Caenorhabditis elegans: one gene and its partners. The protein of the gene in region 1 purifies or fractionates together with the protein of each later gene. This does not show direct contact. Each region holds a gene or a part of one and is shown on either strand. Other genes may lie near its edges.

Region 1 (4,980 bases):
GAAATCTCACCATATGCAATTAATAATATTCTTTCTTCGACTCAAAGTTCTCCAGACAACGGAAATGAAGCCGATGATAAAGAGAACAGTTCTGTTCGTCGTAACACATTCCCAGCGTCATCTGCTTCAACAAAAAAGCCACGTGGTACTCCATATGACCGTACTAACACACCAATGACAGTAGTTCCACAAATGCCACAGTTTGCTCCAGACTTTTCAAACTATAATCTCACAATGAATGCTTGGAGTGAGTTCTTTAAAAAGGATAGATGTATGGTTTGTGGTGATAACTCTACTGGATATCATTATGGAGTACAGAGTTGTGAAGGATGCAAGGGATTTTTCAGAAGAAGTGTTCACAAGAATATCGCATATGTTTGTACCAAAGGAGAAAATTGCACAGTGAGTTTAATTAGACAAGCATTTCAAAAATATGCTATTATATTTTTCAGTTCTCATATGAAAATTGTGCGGCAAATCGTGGAGTACGTACTCGTTGTCAAGCTTGTCGATTTGCCAAATGCCTCGCAGTTGGAATGAATCGTGACAACGTTCGAGTGAACAAAGAAACTGATAAAGATGTTAAACCATCAGTGGCTTCGCCCAATTTTGAGATGACATCACAAGTGAAAGAGCTTACGGCCGCCTTTGTTGCAAACATGCCATGCTCTACTCACTTAACATCGGGAACTCATGCTATTGGAGCAATTAAGAAATTTATTGAATCAGTTCCAGCTTTGAGCTCACTTTTGCCAAAAGATGAAAAAGCACTTGAAATGAGTATTCAAAAAGTGATGAGTGGTATCTTGGCTATTCGTGCGGCTTTCACATTTGATCCAATCACTTTCTATTCCTGTGAGAATCCAGTAAATTTGCTTCGTGGCGGCATTCGTAATACAGTATTCAATGATTGTGAAGTTGCACTTCTCTCTGGAATTCATATACTTCAAATAGTCAATGGAGGTGTCGCTGAGGTAAGTAATTGTTTGGCATAATGCCAAAATTGTCGGAATATTCCCAAATGACACAATTAATCCCTACCATAACACTCAAGAAAGTAAATATTGCGCCAAGAAAGTTAACCTTTTTCAGATTTTTACGAGTTATTGTCAAGGATTACGCCATCAACTGTCTCAAACACATCTACAAGAGATAGGACTCTGCGATCGATTGCTCATGAGATTGGGACCGTATCTCAATCAATAACAAATATATTACTTCTGATAAATTCAGAACCGATTCGGTGTCTGGACACGCTTCCAACCGGTTCTGAATTCTCACAAAACTTTATTCCTGTCTTATGAATCAATATAGATTCAAAATACTTGTTTAAAGTCCCCTTCCCCCGTTACTATCATTTTCTATTCATGTTCTCAAAGTCTGATCATTTCTTACTGATCTCTTCCTCCAGGTGTGAATTTAATTCTCTATCTCACTCTCTCGTTCGGGCTATATACTGTTTCTTTTTGAATTTCCAATTGATGTTGTTTGTTAGGCTGTTACAGTACCAAAAATTATATTATTTGAAGTTTGTTAAAAACTTAATATATTTGGTACTGCTTCTTGGTTGTTGAAAAGATGAAATAAATATTATTTGATAATTTAACTATTTTGTATGCAGGAAAAAATTTGACGTGCCACAACTTTTACCGTTATTTGTCGTAATTTGTCGTAATAGTAATTTGTCAATTTATTTGTCAAAATTAGTCAATTATTAAAAAAATAATAAAATTAATAGAAACGGTCGTCAGATGCGGTGCTTGCGTATACAGTATACTTCGGTGTTCACGTATGATCGACTACCGTAGTTCTTTGTTTTCGGTTCGACGCGCGAAAAAATTAGAGTGCATTTTTCGAGAATTCATTTTTTTCATTCTTTTCCGGACTTTTCTTGTTCGCGGACGTTTTTCGCTTCTTTTCTTTACACGCGTTATTGACTGACAAGTTTCAGAATGACTGAGCTCAAATTCAAGGGAGTTTACGTGGAGGATATAGGCCATTTAACATGCGGAACGCTTACATTGACTGAAAATTCGATTAACTTCATAGGCGATAAGGGTGGAAAATCAGTTTACATCACAGGAACCGACGTCGATAAACTGAAATGGCAAAAGCTTGGCAACAAGCCGGGACTACGCGTTGGTCTTAGTGATGGAGGTGCTCACCGCTTCGGAGGATTCTTGGATGATGTTAGTTTGTTGTTCGTTTTCTTTATTTTTATACGTTTGTAGTCTCATTTTATTCAAATTCGAAATTTCAGGATCTTCAGAAAATCCAATCGTTCACTTCTTCTAACTGGTCTAAATCTATCAATCAATCAAATCTTTTCATCAATGGATGGAACTATGGGCAGGCCGATGTCAAAGGCAAAAATATTGAATTTTCATGGGAAAATGAACCGATTTTCGAAATTCCGTGCACGAATGTGTCAAACGTCATTGCCAACAAAAATGAGGCTATTTTGGAGTTCCATCAGAATGAACAAAGCAAAGTTCAGCTGATGGAGATGAGATTCCATATGCCAGTTGATCTAGAAAATGAGGAGGATACTGATAAAGTAGAAGAATTCAAGAAAGCAGTGCTGGCATATGCTGGATTGGAGGCTGAAACTGAGCAACCAATATGCCTTCTCACTGATATTCTGTGCACAACACCTCGTGGAAGATATGATATTAAAGTTTATCCGACAAGTATTGCACTCCACGGAAAGACGTACGATTACAAGATTCCTGTCAAAACGATCAATCGTCTATTCTTGGTTCCTCATAAAGATGGACGCCAAGTATATTTTGTGTTGTCGTTGAACCCACCCATTCGCCAGGGACAGACACACTACAGTTATCTCATTTTCGAGTTTGGGAAGGATGAAGAAGAAGATTTGGAGTTGTCGTTGACTGAGTGAGTTTATTTCAGAATTTTCTGGGAACAATTCCGTGCCACTCAAATATATTTTATATTGCCGTCCAATAATTTGAGAGTATTTCAGTGAACAACTCGACTATTTCAATGGAAATCTTCAACGTGAAATGACTGGACCAATCTATGAGACAATCTCAATTCTCTTCAAATCAATTTGCAATCTGAAAGTCACCGTTCCTGGACGATTCCTCGGAAGTTCGGGCACTCCTGCCATACAATGTACACATCGTCAGAACCTTGGATTGTTGTACCCAATGGAAAAGGGATTTTTGTTTATTCAAAAGCCGGTCATGTACATTCGCTTTGAAGAGATTAGCTCATGTCATTTCGCACGTTCTGATAGCGGAACTGTAACAAGAACTTTTGATTTTGAGATTGATCTGAAAACTGGATCATCGTTGACTTTCAGTGCAATGGATAAAGAAGAGAACAACAAACTATTCGACTATCTAAACAAGAAAGAGATCAAAATTCGCAATTCTCATCGTATCGATAACAAATCAGCTGGTTATGGAAGCAGCGATGAAGATGATATCGATCCATACAAGTCAACTGTGAAAGCAGAGGGTCGTGAACAAGATGATGACAGCGATGATGAAAGTACTGATGAGGATTATGATTTGGATAAGGATATGAAGAAGCAGAAGAATGACAAAGACTCATCAGAAGGTTCTGGAAGTGAACCTGACGATGAATATGATTCTGGCTCAGAGAAAGATGCTTCAGGAACTGGAGAATCTGATCCAGATGAAGAGAATATTGAACCAAAAAAGAAGGAGAGTAAAGAAAAGAAGAATAAACGCGAGAAGAAAGAGAAGCCGGTAAAGGAGAAAGCTGTGAAGAAAGGAAAGAAAACTAAAGATCCAAATGAGCCGAAACGAGCAACCACTGCATATATCATCTGGTTCAATGCCAATCGTAATTCAATGAAAGAAGATGGGGATACACTCGGAGATGTTGCTAAAAAAGCCGGAGCAAAGTGGAAGTCCATGAGTGCGGATGATAAAAAGGTATTTTTATAGACTTTTCAAATCAAAAACTCTTTTAATTTTAGAAAAAACCATGATTTTCGAATCTAAAAAATTCAATCACTTTTAGAGCCATTAAAAATGTTTTGTTTTATCCCGTTAGTAATTATTTTTATTCAGGAATGGAACGATAAGGCTGCACAGGACAAGGCAAGATACGAAGCGGAAATGAAAGAATACAAGAAGAATGGTGGAGGAGTAGAGAAAGCATCTGGACCATCCACGAAGAAAAGCTCCGATCAATCTCCGGGTAAACAGTTCAAGTCTAAGGAGCATATCAGTGATACGGATGATTCCGATGACGATGAGCCGCTAAAGGCGAAGAAAGACGAATCCGATGCTGCCTCCGAGTCTTCTGGTGAATCGGATTGATTTTCTGACTAAATATTTTATTGTTGCTTTTTATTCGCCTTCCTTCTTACTTTCATAGATCTCTTTCATCCTCTTTCCAATCATTTACCCATTTTATATTGGATTCCCATTAATTTCAATTATAACTGTAAAATGAATTTATCGATGATGGTTAAAAAGAGAGAAAAAATCAGTAACAATAATGGCATGGGGGATTGTGAAAAATGATTACAATATTAATATTTAATACGATATTTGAAGATTCCAATTCAAAAGGGGGATTGTTTTGAATATAACTAGACGTCTATTTTGAAGCAATCAATTAGAAATGGAAAGTATAATTACTTGCCTGAATTTGAAGGAAAAGATAAAAAAATAGACGAGAAAAGAAGTACTAAATGATTAATCAAAAATGCATTAAAAAGTTCAAAGTATTCACAACAATCATTTTTAATCTCCAGACCGTTCCATAGCGATCGTAATTCCAGATTTTTCAAGGTTCGCAATAGCTCTTTCTTGTTTCGACTCTCCGTGTTTCGTTTTTGGAAGCGTTTGAATCGATAATTTATGTGTTAAATAAACTCGAACAGGCATCAATCCAGATTCTGTTGCAACCGGCATTTCCATCAAATCTTCATCTGAAGCACTATCAATTTGACCGATAATATACTTGATACGATCC
Region 2 (4,870 bases), on another chromosome or scaffold:
ATTTGTTTTATAACATTTTGTTAACTATAATTCGTGACCAATTTTGGTATTTCAGGCTAACTGTTTAGAACAACAATTATCGTAAAGATTCATAGAAAATATCTGGTGAATGCAAAAGTGGAATTCATTTTTCGTTCACAATTTTGAAAAAAGCTCAAATACCGCGCACTTTGCCGGAATTAAACAATTAAATAGTATTTTCAAATTGATACATTCACATATAGTATTAAATTTGAATGTTGAACTTATCAAAAATTGTTTGACTGGAAAAAAATGCATGAGTTTTTTCCTACTATTTTGAGAGTTTTACAATTGTGATGAAAAATCTAAATATGGGAGAAAGAAGAGCTATTCAGCATTAATTTGTCTTTGAATTGTCAATTACGCGTGTCTCGACAAAATTCGAATAAGTTCTGATTATATTTTTTCAGTTACGTTAAGTTGAATGCATAAACTGTTATTTTCATTTTAGAAAAAAATTAACTGTAAGTGTCGATATTACTTTTTCTAAAACTACATATATGTATTAGGTTTTAAATTTGCAGATCGAAAGTTGTCTTACCTGAGCTTCATCATTTGCTGGAAGATCCTCAATTCCATCCATGCTAGTCGTCATTGGGTCCACGTACTCCGTTCCAGTGATATCGGGGACCTGCAAAACGTGAAAATAACAATGATCTAGTGGGAGAGGAAAAGTTGCACTTGAAGTGGAACAAAAGTGATGCGAACACCTTGTGGGCGACACACTAACAACTCAGATGGTGATTTGTTTGATCTGGCTCTCGTTGAGCCAACTCAACTGAGAATCTCTGGCTAGCTCCATCTGGTTCTTCGAAAGTTATGTCTATTAAAACAATACATACGAGTGGAGAGAAAAGCCAGAAAATATTCATGCATTAAATAAGTACTTTTTCAGGAGGCCCTTTTAACAGAACAAATTTTGGTTATATACTCATATAACAAAATAATATGAGATAAGCGGATCTGATAATAATTTAAGTGCACCAGGAACACGTTCAAAACTATTGTTCAAATTAACAGTTTTCAAATAGTAGTTTTATTTTTTTTTCAATATTTACACTTTTTGCTCACATTTCACAGCAGGTTGTGAGTTTAAAAGAAATTTACATGGTTATGTATTTGATAATTTTCTGGTTTCTTTAAAATGAATGAATAAAATTAACAGTAGTAATATGGTTGTTTCTCACAATATATATATATACCGGTAGAAAAAGTAAGTGACAATTTTCAAGAACAAATTCAAAAACTGTTTAAGTACCAGTTAAAAATGAACATAATTAAGTTAGCAAATAAAATCAAACCATCGGTTAATGCTGGGAAGGTGTTGAATGACTGGTTGTTTGCGTTTTGCAAACGCGTAGAGAAAAGGTGGGGATCTAGGATCTAGGTAGCCAAAAAAATAAGGTTTGGTCTCGCAAGCTCGTCTCGACGCAAAAAGATTTTGCGAGAAAGAAGCAAAAAGGGACACCTACGCATCGAGCAATCTCTTGTCTTATTTCACGATATCACTCTGACGAGTGATGGTTGCTGTGGCACAGAACAAAAAAACTTGTTTACGGCATAGGTTAGGTCTACATGATAGTTTGTGAGAAACGGATGATATGAAAAGAGCGATAAGCATACAAAAAGCAACAAGTCAGAAAAAAAATAACTGAGGAAAAAACTGGAACACAAACCAACAAAAACTGTGTTGTTTGTTCACTATCTTTTAGGTTTTGATATTTGCATTTTTTTAATTACAGTAATAATTTTTTTGATGTTTTTTGTTTTCTTATGTAATCGTTCTACAATTTTGTGGTATATAGTTTTGGAAAAAAATTATTCAACACGTTTTTCCTTAGTTAAAACGTTTTGGAAAAGCTGAGTAGAAACTAGATCTACGTTGTGAAAAATAAAAAATAAAAAATTGAAAGTTGTCCTGAAAAAATATCTGAAAACAGATTTCCAATCTTTCAATGAAAATTGCCGCATTTATTCTATTATTTTATACATAGCTCCAGTGCCATCAAAAAGTCCTGAATATTGAAACTCAAATTAGATGAGAAAATTCAAAAAAAAAGAAGTTTATTTTAACAAAAAATAATTTGCAACTTAATTTCTTTTTTTTGTGAATTAGTAAGAAAAAATCGAACAAATATTTAAGAATACCACTTTAATTGTTACGTTTTTTGGGTGTCTCTCGGAATTTAAATGGATGTGATTTTTGGAAATTGCAAGATATACATATACAAAGGTCTTAACCTCTTAACATTCTATATACTGAAAAAGTGTACATTGTTTTACAGTTTTACAAATATGTCATTATTAAACGCATTTGAAACATGAATACAATTTTTTCTCAATTATTCACATAATTCGAAAAATCCAAAAATTATTTCACATCAAGTTTAAAAGTTTGATAAGCAACTACATCAAGTTTAACAAACAATTTGCTGATTAAATCTGTAAGAGCCTCGAAAAACATGATGGTTACACCAATCATGTATGTGAATCATTTAAGAAAAATAACTTACACGTTGCTCTACTTGTATAATATCATTTTTGATAGCATACACTTTTTGTATCATATTCCGAGCAAACATTTTAACGAAAACATTATGTTGAAAGTTAAATAGTTTAGCTGGTACATCAAGTATTGCACGCGGACCTCATTTCTAGCCCACAGGCAAGATAGAACTTTCAAGAAAGGCCGAGATGATGCGTAAATAAAAACAAAATTCTAAAAAGTACCTGATCCTCGGTGCGGTCTTCATCAACCTGTTGAGCGCTCTTCTCGTCGTCAGCTTCGGCAGTTACAAGTTGATCATCACCCTCTTCTGAAGCTCGACATTTTGCATTACAGTAACCGACCGCTCAACTCACCAACAAGTTGAGCATTGCTGTTGTCCTGCTCAATCTCAGCGACAAAATCCTTCTGGATCTCAATCACTGCCTCCTCTGGAGCGTCGTGAAACTCTTCTTGAGCATCCACCTCAGACATTTCGACGACGACCCTAAAAATGCAATAAGATATAAAAAGCAGTAAGATATTCTTTTCAAGTGGGAGAGACAAAAAAAATGGCATACGATTGTAATGTATGAAATTAAATATCGAAGACAGATATATGTATAGGTACACCGTAAAAGATAAAAGATTAGAAATGAAGTAAAAGTGCAGTTGGCATGTTCAAAACCAATGGCGATTTGCCCTCCATCGTCGTGTTTTGTTTTGTTTTGTTTTCGTCCTACCCGTGGATGGGCGGGACCCCTCCCGATTTTTGGTGATTTTGTGCCGAAAAATGGCTCTTTCTCTCCTCTCACAGAACAGATCCATCAGTCAATGTGACCTCAGACCGAGAGGAAAGAAGCATGGGAAGCAGCAAAGAGGCGGAAGGATGCGAAAATGAGTGGGAGGATTGTTGGAGATCCCCCGCCAAACCACCCCTACAACAACTTCTCTCTTTCTATCTGTGTATGTGTGTTTGCCGGTGAAGAAGAAGAAGAAGAAGAGCTTGGAAACCAGGAGCTATCAAGGATCTCGTAGAACAAAAAGTCACTGATGCCACTTGTTTTTAAATGAGAGACGACATCGGGTGAAAAGCAGTAGGGGAGAGAGGGAGGAGGGGGCACAAATCCTTGTTGATTGTGATTTAGAGAGGTGGATTTGGGTGGGTTAAAAATTGAAGAATGGGCAAAGTTCAGTCGTCAACACTAACTAACTAGCTGAGGTAATTGTTTGTGTGACATGGGTTGTTAAGTATGATCCGGCTAGAAATCCAAAATATAGCTTTGAAATCCCACATTTATTGGTTTGAGTTTAAGAATTTGGTCCGCATTTCGAAAATTCAAGTTTGAAAAAACGAAAACCTCCATATCAGTGAAAAATATTTGTTTTTCAATGCAGATCAAAGTTTCCAGGAAAACATTTTCTACGTATATATTTGTGTTAACTACGCTTCTACTGCAAAACATTTGAGCTTAACCTTGTTTTTACAACAATTTGAAAAAAAATAATACACTAGACAAATTTTCAGTTTAAAGTTTTTTAGCGCTGAAAAATGAAAATTAACCTAAAAATTTCAGATTTTCGTTAAAATTTTCTGTAACTTTCAGAATATTTTGACACTTTGAAAAAACATTCTGAAATTTATTTTAAAAACTGCAACACATCGTTTAGAGTTTTTTGAGTGCTCGGGAAAAAAGACTGCAATTTTTTAAATAGAAAATTCGGAGGTAGGAGTTTAATTTCTCTGCTTAGTTTTTGTGGGTTCCTATTATATTAAAATTTTCACAGCAAATATAAATTGCTCGGGTAGGTTTTTTTTCCTTGTTACAGTATAATTTCGGTACATTCTTATCGAATATATTTTATTAATTCAAATCAGTAAAGTTTTATGTTTTTAATTGCTCCAATGAAAATGGCTAATTTTTATATTTACTTGTAGATTGACAAATTGTAGCAAATTTCTCATAAGTTGAATTTTGAAAAATTGGTACATGACTTTATAGTATCTACAATTCACGAAACAAAAAGTTTTGCTAATGAAAAATGAAATCTTCTCCGAACAAGAAAACAGAAAAAACAGGAAGCACCCGCCCACCTCCAAAGCCTGCCAATTGCCATGGCTATTAAAATTATGATGATTACAACACATATCTGAGTGTGGTGGTGTGAGAAGAATGCGAAAAGGTGTGTAATAGTGGTAATACATACATACTTAACGCTTATGAGCTTAAGCGCGAGTTTTAGCAGGTTTCAGAGTTGGCTTGAAAAAAGAGAGAGGGGAAACGTGAGCCGAATCAGTTTTAAAAGAGTGGGGAAAGATTTCAAGTTGTTTCTATGTCAGATGCTTCAAACTATCATTAGATA
Region 3 (7,514 bases), on another chromosome or scaffold:
TTTTACATGAATATCTCTAAAATTTGAACAGTGAGAAGAAACACAAATAATATTTCAAACCTTCTGGAATTCATCCAAAGAGTCATATCTCGTGCACACGTCGCACATTTTACAGGTTTCTTAGCCGGTGCTTCTTCATCATCGTCGCTCAGTGTGATCTCTTCGAAAGGAGAAGGAACATCTCAAAAAGTAAATTAATTGATTTAATTGGGAAATTTGATTTGAAACTTACTTTTGTCAGATTCATTTCTTACAATACTCTGCACACTTCCAAGTTTTTGAGGACGCCTAGAAAAAAAGACAGATATTTTTTAATTTACGTTTAGGTTAAATAGATACGACAGAAACAAAAACCTTACTACCTTGGCGCGGATGAGATCGAGTTTTGGGACAGTGCCTTTTTTAGTGATGAATCATTCATATGAGTAGAATCTAGAATACTTTTTTTTCTTCTAAAACTGAATTTGCAATTCTTATTCCAATATCAATTGTGATCAACGCATTCTACGTTTTTTCGTGATGATTTAGCAGTGATTCTGATTACGAAATTTATTGAGTAAACAACAAAAATGGTACTTGAATACAGAAAGAGCTCATGAACAGTATGACTGCTTGAATAAATATTTTGATAGATATATAAAAATGTTTGAAAAGTAAAAATCGAGGATGAACGGATTACCGAAATCAAAACAAATTATGTGGGATTAAGACAGATGGATGTTGTATTCTATAAATTAAAATTAGATCATCGTTGATAGACTGGAACAAAGGAAACAGGATTGAATGTGTCTGATAAGGTGTGGGTAATAAAGAGAATAAGATCAGGGTTTTCAGTGATAGCCGACGAATTGAGGAGGATAGTATGGAGCTGCTGGAGGAGCACCAACTCGATACTGTGGAGCCGGGATCGCAGATCGCCTTAACTCGATGGGAGGCTCGTGGAAATGGCGTTTGAACCAAGCCATCATTCGATCTAGCGTATCAAAGTTTTGATGTCGGAATCGGACTCCATGTGGGACAACTGTAAACAAAAATAGTTGAAAACTTTGTTCGTATCTCTTTTCGAAACTCACTTTTGAAATATTCATGTCGAATCCGTTCTGTATTATCGAACATATAAGAAATACAGAATTGGCATGGCTGTCTGTAGGATGCACTGAATACGTACGGAGATCGTCCCAGCTCTCGTTTCTTCTCTCGTACAAATTGCTCGACTGCTTCTGTTTCTTCGCATGTTCCATTTGGGAAGAAGTACTTGTGAGTTGTTATCTCGTGAGAGATCTGTATCATCGGTTGAACGAATCGAGCAATCAACTCATCAAGATCCTCGAAATCTTCTCCGCCGACTGAGAGTTGCCGACCAATGGAGAAAACTTGATCCTTTGCGGATTCTTTGACAAAGAAATTGTGATAGACGCGGTCACAAATCTTCCATGTCACAGAAAGACCAGAATCTTTATTAGCCGATGGACGAATAATACACTCAGACCAATCCATTTCATCCAACATTTTCGTAGCAGCTTCGTAGGATACATTATGGAAATTTGGATGCGCAATTACTCGCTTCACACGTGTATTTGCTTCTGTCTTCTTTTTCGATTCACTCTTCATCAGTTCCAAATCAGCTTGGTATTGATGCTCATCCCAGTACTGATCACGTTGAGATAAATCATCTTCTTTCAGATCCGAACTCTTACAACTTAGGAATAGTGAGAATCTCTCCTTGTCCAACTTGAGAACTTTGAAGTAATATGGCTGATTTATCTTGACTCGGGTTAATGGATTGTCTACGTGACTTGATGAGATGTTCTTGTTCGGACAGAATCCAGTCATTCCATTGTCAAATCTGACTCGAATTCCGACTGGTGTTCCAGGACATCCACCTTGACGAGACTGAAATAATTTAACATTGGTTAACGAATAGTATTAGTTGAGAAAAACTTACGTCACCGAGCATATGTTCTTGAATTCCACCAGGAGCCGAAGATGTGAACGATTTACAACATGGACAAGTGAAAAGACCATCTTCTCCAACATCAGGTAACATGCTGTCTGCTGCATCTTTGTCAACTTTACGGTACTGCACAGATTGAACTGTTCCCAACACTTTAGCTCCTTCCTGCAAAAATAAAAATAAAATCGACAGAATTATTACAAGTAACATACTCTAATTTCTTTTCCTGAACGAGCCAAAAGATCATACAAAAGCTCTCCGGTAGGTTCTTGGAATGGTTGCCGAAGATCTTTATATCTCGCACTCAACTCGCTTGAGATGTCATACAACGTCGACTTTTTCTCTCCGAATCCTTGTCGACTCAATTCATCGGCAAACGCGTCCAAATCGAGATCTCTCAAACGATCAGGAGATTCCATGATTTCTTGAAGAGCCGCAGTTGGATCAGCAGAATCATCAACCTCCAACGCATCCACAGCCATCTTTCTAGCCCATTCATAGGTCTCTGGATGTACTCTCGAACCGTCAAGAACTTCAACATAAGCGTCAGTCTTCTCCGATACCTTGATAGTGTCAATTTTGATGAATCCAGCACAGTTCATAAATACTTTTGGTCCCAGTTTGCATCCAACCACAAGTTTCGATCTACTCTCTATCAAATTATCGTTAGCTTTTATGCTTTTCAGAAGATCAGTGGCTTTTCGTGGACCCAATCCGCATGTGAACTGGAGCATGTTAGTGTAGTGAGGGAATTCTGCACATTTATTGATATCAACACCTTCTTCGTTGACCTTGTTCACCAATTCATGACTGAGAACCAAAGCCAATTGCTCTTGATCGATATCCCGTTGAAGCGGATGCAGAGAGAGACAGAAAATATCTTCATCAATATTCCACAAATGAGCATACTCTGGGATGGGATCCAAAAGAAGACGAGCTAGGGATAAAGCTTGTCGGAGCGTCGGTGGATGATCTGGATTCTCCGCCAACGAAACATTCGATCTCATGTAGACTTTTGCGGCTTCGTTGTCCATCAAAAATACTGGAATTGGTTTGTAGATCAAGTTCTGCGAGAAAAGATCTGCCACAGCTTCCTCGAGGTCTCTCTGAAAATTGCAGTTTTTAAGTATCAAATGTTCAAAACTAGTGCAAACCTTCAATCGAGTACACTCCATATCCTCAATATTCAATCCAATAGCATGAGGTTTTCGTCTCTGTACAAACTTCTTAAACAAATCCATTGACTCGGCCTTCCTTAGTCCATTGTTTCCACCGCCAAACGTTCGTTTCGTGAAATGAACCATTCGAAGATAATCAACAATTGCACCATTTTCATCAACCATTACACCAAATGAAGCTTCGTCTCGCTCTGTTGGATAGCACACTGCCATGATTCGACGAGCTCCATGTTGATCCATACCATCATCATCGTCATCGTTATTATCGAAATCCGGCTGAAATAAAACAAAACAATTACATAGTTATTAAATCAAATTAATACCAGATATCCTGATCTAGAAATTCGAGATGCAAACTCCTTTCTACATTTCTTTGCTACTGCAGTCTTTGCTTCTTCAAGAATCGTATTATACAACTCATCCCTCATGTAGGGTACAAGCATTTCAGTTATAGCCATATTCACACACTCATCTCTCACTGAATTCCATTGTTCAACATTTTCCGTGTATTCGTCTTTTTGGAAAATGGAATCACTTAGATACTTGTTAACGAGGTAGTTATTTGAATCCTGATCTTCTTCAGATTCATACATGATGAGCACATCAACAAGACCATCCTCTTTGGCTTTGTGATAGAAGAGGAACTCTTCAGCGGTGAGACTTCGAACTGGTTTACTCTAAAAATATATATTTATTAAAATCCTAGACATTTATTTCAAATAATTCTCACCTTGATATACCGTTTGTCATAGAGGGGATGAGTTTGATCAATTGTATCACGTCCTTTCTTCGTTGGCTTGATCCAAAAATGTGCAGACTGGCGGAATTCTTGCCGAACACTATGCCTGACTTGTGGTTGTCGACTGATCTCCTTGGCAAGCATGAATTTCGCACCATTCAGAACCATATCACTGTCACTGAACGCAGGACAAACATACTCTTCTGCTGCTTCCAATGGTAACATCGGATCTTGCTCAATGTCGTGTTTTTTCCAGTTCAAATTTTCAGAAAACTGTTTTGCAGTCAATCCAAACCGTCCAGCAAGCTCTCCGATTCCGTTTTCCACACACATTTGATACTTATCATTACGAATGCTTGACTTGAACTTGACTCGATACTCTTGTTCCTCTTCTTCACCGGTTAAACGTCCTTTTTCCCATCTAATCATATCGTCGAGAAGAGCACCGTACAACAATTGGAAATTTGCATGTATGTCGGTAAGCTGTTCAAGAGTTTCTGCGTATTTTGTGCTGAAAAATAATTTAAATTCTAAATTTTAAATTTTAAAACTTACTCCATCAAATCTGCATCCGAAATCGGTCGTCTTTTTGCGGTCAAATCGTCACTGAGTTCCTGATACTCTCTCATCCGACGCATTAAATCGTAAATTTTATTTTTCTTCTCTGACAAATGACACCATTTTTCGTCAAAATCGTATACTCTCCATAGATTATTCATTGTCAGAAGATTGTCAATATCTTCTTTACGATAAAATCCAATAAACGTAGGTTCGAACGAATTAGAACGAACTCGAATGAATTGGAGAACTTTCTTGATGGATTTTATAACAGCTTTCTTTCTATCTTCATAGACAGAAGGATCCAGATTCATTATACAATCAAGTTTATCGTCTTGATCCAGGTCAGCTTGATTTGTCACTGTCCCTTCTTCGAAGGCATATTTAATAATCCATAGAGCTTCAGATTCCAGTTCATCATCATCCGCTTCTGTAACTGGTGTTCTTCTGAGTTGGAACCTCTCTGGTAAATCTTCTTTCGCGATTTTCTTATCCCCAGGTAACAAGAATCCACGATCAATTTCACTTGGTTCGATGGATTCGAGAAGTGTTGACTTCTTTGTAGTATCCTTCTTTCTGCGTATCTGAACCATTCCTATTTCAATAATGCAAAGCTTTTCTCAAAAATTCCAACCTTTATCTCTCCTCCTTCACCATCATCTTCTATTATTTCCTCCTCTTCGTCTTCTAGACCATCCTCGCCATCATCATCGTCGTAAAACTCGTCCAAATTGAAGTCTTCCACTCCGAATACATCACGGGCGTCATCTTCAGCGCCTTCTGGGAGATTTTCGTCTCCACGATGACGTTTCCGATGTCTTCGTGGCGCATCTCCATCGTCCTCAATAAAGTCATCCTCACTTCTTTCAGACTCTGATCCGTAACCACCGCGATCTCCACGACCACGATCTTTTCGCCTGTCTCCATCGTCACTTCCTCGTTCGGAAAGCAAATCATCATCTTCGTGGTTGGGTCTCTGAAATTCCGAATTTGATTATTATTATTATTATGAATTTTAGTGGCAATTGAAAAAAATCGAAATTACTCACTCGTATCGGCTCATCTTCATCACTGGAATCACCCAATTGAACTCGATTTTGTTTTTTCGTCTCTCGAATATCATAATTCTCATTGATCAAATCAAGATCTTCATCGTCGAGCTCATCTTCTCCCGAGTGCCGAGATTTTTCTGACTTCTCCGATTTTGCGTCCTCTTCTTCATCGTCATCATCTGCAATGAATCCCTGCATTTCTTTACGGTTTTCCTCTTCATCGTCATCGTCGTCTTCATCTTCGTCAGAACTAAAAATGAACAAATGAAAATAGAAATACCCCGGAATTATAATTACCTGGCAACCATTTTCTTCTTTCTTTTTGATTTTTCCTTTGCCATTTTCATCTTTTTCGACTGTGGTTCTTCATCATCAGAATGGCCCGAGGAGGCATCTGATTCTTCGGCTTGATTATCGATAAAATCCATTACCTGCAACAAATTCAGTTAATTTCACTTGGGAAGAACGAAATTTCATAATACAAAAATTTCGAAAAGCACAAAGAGCAAAATTAAGAAAATTGCAAACAGCTCACAGTGCGGAAAAGGTTTAAAAGTGAAAGAAAACTGAAAAATCTTATTTTGTGCAAAAAAAATTAGCCAGATAGGTGAAAAATGACGGATTTTACGCGGTTTTTAGGCCAAACGAGCGAAAATTAATCAATAAAGAAAACGGAGAAAGAAGGAAACCGGCCATTCGGGTCGAGGACAAAAATAAAAATGAGACGATTTTCTGAATTTGAACGCGAAGCGATTTATGCAACTGCGCCCCATTGTGATGCTAGGCGAGAGAGTGTGGGATTGCAAGAGGCGGGTAGAGATAGAAAAACGCGGTCGTTTAAAAAATATCGCTTTCCCGAGTTTCGCGTATTTTAGGAATTATATGTTTCATTTTAAAGCGATATTGCGAAAAGTGATTTCGATTCATCTTTATTGCGTGATAGGTAAACAAATTGGTTCATTTAGCAAGCATCCAAGACGACGAAATACGATAACCGGGGTATTCAGAATTGTTGCGAAAAATGTAATAGCTATATAGCTATGTGAAATTATTTAGGCATAAAAGATTAATTTTCATTCAACTACCATGTTCAATTTTGAAGGTTTATTCTTCACAGACTCATTCTTTCATCAACAAAAATCTTACCACGAAGAAAAACTTTATCAAATACCGTACCAGCGAGTATGATAGAAGCTTTTTAAAAGTTTTTTTTCCTTATTTCCCGATTTCAAATATATACGTAGATTTTTTCGAGGAAAAATCAATTCATAAGTTCTGTAATTTCAGGAGAAATTTGGCGAGAAAGATTGAGGTACTACAGTACTCCCGAGTACGGTAGTTGAAAAAGTTTCGCTTGAATCAGTGTTTCAATTCTAGATATACGCCCTACCAGATGCCTAGGGGGTAAGTGCCTACAGTGAAGGTTCACTTAAACTGCATTACTTTGATAACCTGAACCTGCTGATCATCATATCCGAAAAACCCCCAAGATATTCACTTGCTGACCATTTTTCATTAGTTGAAGTCCTAATTTCCATCGCTAATTATTCATTCATTTGCTGTTTCCGACATACTTATCAAATCCCATGGGATCCCCCGAATCCATGAGCACAATAATCGAAAGATTGAGGCTCAATGTCTATTCTCCATCCTCTCTCTCTCTCTTCCACACTCTTGGACCCGCCCCACCCTGGGGCCAGTCGAGCGCGCAGCTTTTCGTTTCAAACTCTGCGCCTCTCTCATTCCAAAGCTCTCTGCGCACTTTCTTTTACTCTCTTTTTCTCTGAAAAGGCTTTCAAAAGTAAGTGAGAGATTGGAAGAGAGTGAACGAGAGAAAAAGAGTAAGCAGTTGGGGGGAGTAGGAGGCGAAGGAGGGGGAACAACTACTACTCGCTCTCCTCTACTTGCCTCATCTTCTTCCTTTTCATTTTTCAACGTCTTCTATTCTGAAGATTCTTCTTGTCTTCTGGATTCATGGACGACGATGTCGGTGAACGAACACCGGCTCTCGGTGGTTCATGTGGACCATCAGT
Region 4 (3,618 bases), 2.9 Mb from region 1:
AATGCACGACTAGATAGAATCAAATCAACAATGTTTATTGAATAACAAAGTAATTAATAAACTCTTTGTGGCTTTCCCATGGTGGACTTGATGTTCAACGATCTCACGTTCTGCCAGTTCTTCTTCAAGAGCGAGACGAGGAAGTTGATGGAGAGGGAGATGTTGGAGACAAGCTCCTCCTGGGTGAGTCCAACGTGACCGACGGCGACGGAGAGGCAGAGAACCTGAAATGATACAATTATTAACAGGGCAATAAGAATGATAATGTTTACCTTCTTCATCTGGAACTTGACGGTGGCGCGGATCTCGTCACTCTTGCTTTGGAGAGATTCTCCGTGGGTAACGACGGAAGGGAATTTTCCGGCCTTGTTGAGTCCTGGACCGAGGATACGTGGGATCTGCTTGATCAAGGATTCGGAAGCGATGAAAGCATCGTAGCTCTTGGCGAGCTTCTTGATGAGCTTCTTCTGCTTGTTAAGCTTCTTCAAGTCATCGGCGCTCATCGATGGAATGTCTCCGGCGGCAGCCTCGTCAAGATGGTGCTGGTCTCCGAAGACGCACACCTTCATGTTTGGGCGTGGAATGTGCTTCAGTCTGGAAAATAGAACAATAGAAATAAATCCAAATGACACGATTGGTTACATTATACCAGCTCATATCATTATTTCAAAGCGGCAATAATTGCCTCCCCAAAAATTTAAGACCCTGGGTGGGGGTCCGTTAGGCTTTGAAAGTCCCAACTCCCTGTTTTCACAGGTCGTAGCTACCTGATGGATCCGCTGAAACGCTTGTCCTTCTGTGGGTCGTAGTTCTTGAGACCGATCTGGAGCTCGATAGTCTCACGGAACTTGCGTGGCTTTTCCGAGGATCCCTTAAGGACCTCAGCGATAGCCTCATTAAGAGACTCGCGGGAAACCTTCGACATTTTACCCTGAAATAGAAATAAATTAAGAATTCTATATAGAGGGCAGCAAGTGGATAACGTTCAATAACGAAAAAATAGGCTTTTAAAACCTTGAAAGAAAGTAAAAATCACTCAAAAGGAGAAAATATATCCAAAAATCTACAGAAAAACCACAGAACGAAGAGAAAAGAACTGTGGAGATAAAATTTTAGGCCAAGCAGTGCACACGCAGCAACGAGTGTTACCGTACTTGCTTTCGCGGCGGGTACACACCACTGCAAAACTACATGCGTCTTCCTCGTGGCACGTCTTCCTTCCCTTTTAGGCCTTTTCCTTCGAGATTCTCATTTCTTTTTCCACTTGTTATCATTCTCATGATCCTGTCAATCAGTACTCGTATAAATTGATAAAATATCCATTTGCCCTGTTCCCAGTACGCTCCCCATTATGTAGGTTATCGCTCTCCGAAACGCGCGTCTCAGTGCCACCCTGGCCGCTACGCGACCGCAACGCGTGCCAACCAGCCGAGGAGATTGGTGTTTTACGTCGCTTACCCAAAGTTTTACCGAACCTTCTCATAATCTGTTTCTTATGTATCTTTCTTGACATTTCGATGTGTCCTTTCTCGTTTCTTTACTTCAAATTTCCAGAAAAATGGCACCAAAGGAAAGCGAGAAGAAAATCATGCAGGAGAAAATCGCCAAAGTTCGTGAAGTCGTTGATAGTGTAACCAATAATGACATCATTATGGTTCTTCACTCATTCGATCTTGACGTTGGCAAGACAATTTCTGCTTTCTTGGAAGGTAAATCATTTTAATTTGATTTTTTTTTAGAATTTATTTTTAATTTTCAGATGGAGCCTCTAGCATTCTTGGAGGATGGACCACATCAGATGGAGTCAGTGTAACCGCAGCTAAAAAGAAGAAGAACAAGAGCAAGAAGACTGAAACAGCTGCCCCGGAAACGACGCAAAGTGCTCCAGCGCCTGCTAAAGCGGCTCCAGCTCCAACTGTAGCCGCCCCAGCCTCTTCTTCGGTAACTAAATCAGCTGCTGCACCTAAACCAGTTGGTACGTATCTTTTTCTTCTTTCTTTTCGTCTGTAATAATAATTCCTTTCAGTCAGTGCACCAGCTCCAGCTGATCCGTTGTCGACAGCTTTCAAGGCTATCCGACTCGCATTGAACGACCGCGAGAAGGAGTTGAAGCAGTCAAACGCTTCACAATTTGATACCTCTACAATTCTCAAAGCAATTGCTGCTCTTGGAGGATCTTCAAAGCCGGTTGCCAACGGAAAGCCAGCAGCAGCTCCAACGAAGCAGGCGGTTTCTCCACCTCCAGCCGCTGGGCCAATCAAGCACGCTACTAGTCAGTCAAGCATCACTTCATCCGTCGGAGCAGATTCAGGTGTTAACCTCAGCCCAACACACAAAGGTATGCGTAAAATGTCTCTAGAATAGAATTTTAATTAAAAATTCTTTTATTTTCAGAAGATAAGAAAGCCGCATCAAAGACAGTCACCAACACGGCTGGCTTCCAACTCACTTCATCGGGACTCAGCGCCGATCAGTTGGCTGATCTTCAGAAGACACTCATGCTCACAATGGCATCTCGTGGCGTCGACGCTTCCCTGATCACCTCTTCGGAAAACGTTGCACGCAGACCGAAAAATAACAACAACAACAATAAGTCAGGCGAGGGCAAGAAAGGCAACAAGGGAGCCCAGAAGGATCAGCCAAAGCTGTCCATTTTGTAAACCCCTTCTTCATTCCTTCAAAAATCCCCCCTTCCACCTCATACCATTTCTTGATCGAGCAGCTCACTGTGGTTCCTTGGTTCGAAGATGGTACTCCGGCAAAGTGCATCTTTATTTTTACTGTGATTTGATTTGATAATTATAGTATTGAAAGTGAATGACCCTATTCATTATGCTTGTAATTATAATCCATTATAACTTATTCCGTTTCTTTCCTTTCCCCCCTTGGTTTCGCTTAATTTTCCTGTTCTTCCCTTCATCCCCAACATTTTTCATTTTTTTATCCTGCACCCCCCTTAAATTTATACATACACACACATATATATATATCACACAAGAGGCCTTATTTGTTTTATGCGGGAGACATCAGAACTTTTTGTTTTTATTTCCTTTCTACGTCTTTTCTCTTTTCTTCTTCTTTAGTAATAAAACCACTATGGGAGTGTAAAGGTGTTTTTTTTCTTCATAAATTAAATAGTTTCTTTTAAAAATTTATTTTTTTTTGTTAGCACCCCAGATAGGAGGCTCTTAATTTTTCAGATGGGAAACCAACGACATCATTATAACGATTACGAAGATGTGAGAATGCTCAAATGGGTTGCCAGGCAATATAGAATGCTTAAATGATATTTCAAGAATCACCTCTTTCAGAAATGACAAGAGCCTTGGACCGTTTGGAATAATCACGTGGCAACTGTACGTTGAAGCCTACAATTGTCCGTATTCAGTGCAATCACTGTGTGGACGGTGCGAATTTTTAGAAAAAATCGATTAAAAATATGGAATTAATTACAGAATGCGACGTCAAATTGTCCCGAATATCGATTATTACTCTCGACATTTGAAATCTTCGGATTTAATTTCACTTGAGAGACGTTTTGGGTCAAGACTCGGTGCTGAGACTCGAAAATAGTAATTATTAATTTCAGAAAACATGAAATAATTAAAAAAAATGTTT

What was found.
Region 2: the proteins of hmg-3 (region 1) and T23E7.2 purify together in Caenorhabditis elegans (affinity purification with mass spectrometry, with the first as the bait; 2 studies listed by BioGRID). This does not show direct contact.
Region 3: the proteins of hmg-3 (region 1) and emb-5 purify together in Caenorhabditis elegans (affinity purification with mass spectrometry; 2 studies listed by BioGRID, with this or other methods). This does not show direct contact.
Region 4: the proteins of hmg-3 (region 1) and Y71F9AL.9 purify together in Caenorhabditis elegans (affinity purification with mass spectrometry, with the first as the bait; 2 studies listed by BioGRID). This does not show direct contact.

What each region holds. Positions count from the first base shown.
Region 1 is NC_003279.8:5,815,098-5,820,077, reverse strand, and holds hmg-3 (FACT complex subunit ssrp1-B), read left to right. Parts: upstream 1-1,945; 5' UTR 1,946-1,952; coding exon 1,953-2,189; intron 2,190-2,260; coding exon 2,261-2,898; intron 2,899-2,986; coding exon 2,987-3,929; intron 3,930-4,067; coding exon 4,068-4,319; 3' UTR 4,320-4,469; downstream 4,470-4,980. Other genes in the region: Nuclear hormone receptor family member nhr-2, read left to right, coding at 1-402, 453-974, 1,093-1,206; Retinoblastoma-like protein homolog lin-35, read right to left, coding at 4,749-4,980. UniProt on the Caenorhabditis elegans protein: Component of the FACT complex, a general chromatin factor that acts to reorganize nucleosomes. The FACT complex is involved in multiple processes that require DNA as a template such as mRNA elongation, DNA replication and DNA repair.
Region 2 is NC_003284.9:17,669,173-17,674,042, reverse strand, and holds the start of T23E7.2 (Aggrecan core protein), read right to left. Parts: upstream 3,015-4,870; 5' UTR 3,002-3,014; coding exon 2,884-3,001; intron 2,838-2,883; coding exon 2,752-2,837; intron 653-2,751; coding exon 563-652; exon of another isoform or gene 547-562; intron 1-546.
Region 3 is NC_003281.10:4,714,757-4,722,270, forward strand, and holds emb-5 (Suppressor of Ty 6 homolog), read right to left. Parts: upstream 5,915-7,514; 5' UTR 5,910-5,914; coding exon 5,779-5,909; intron 5,732-5,778; coding exon 5,479-5,731; intron 5,406-5,478; coding exon 5,064-5,405; intron 5,014-5,063; coding exon 4,427-5,013; intron 4,383-4,426; coding exon 3,863-4,382; intron 3,810-3,862; coding exon 3,456-3,809; intron 3,409-3,455; coding exon 3,109-3,408; intron 3,061-3,108; coding exon 2,167-3,060; intron 2,120-2,166; coding exon 1,946-2,119; intron 1,894-1,945; coding exon 1,074-1,893; intron 1,022-1,073; coding exon 831-1,021; 3' UTR 537-830; downstream 1-536. Other genes in the region: him-18 (SAP domain-containing protein), read right to left, coding at 1-16, 61-181, 233-288, 363-421; acy-1 (adenylate cyclase), read left to right, coding at 7,456-7,514. UniProt on the Caenorhabditis elegans protein: Histone H3-H4 chaperone that plays a role in maintenance of chromatin structure during RNA polymerase II transcription elongation.
Region 4 is NC_003279.8:2,875,378-2,878,995, forward strand, and holds Y71F9AL.9 (CUE domain-containing protein), read left to right. Parts: upstream 1-1,554; 5' UTR 1,555-1,558; coding exon 1,559-1,709; intron 1,710-1,759; coding exon 1,760-1,975; intron 1,976-2,026; coding exon 2,027-2,338; intron 2,339-2,394; coding exon 2,395-2,660; 3' UTR 2,661-3,109; downstream 3,110-3,618. Other genes in the region: rpl-10a (Large ribosomal subunit protein uL1), read right to left, coding at 54-224, 273-594, 768-925; Y71F9AL.8 (Myb_DNA-bind_3 domain-containing protein), read left to right, coding at 3,201-3,265, 3,312-3,407, 3,456-3,572.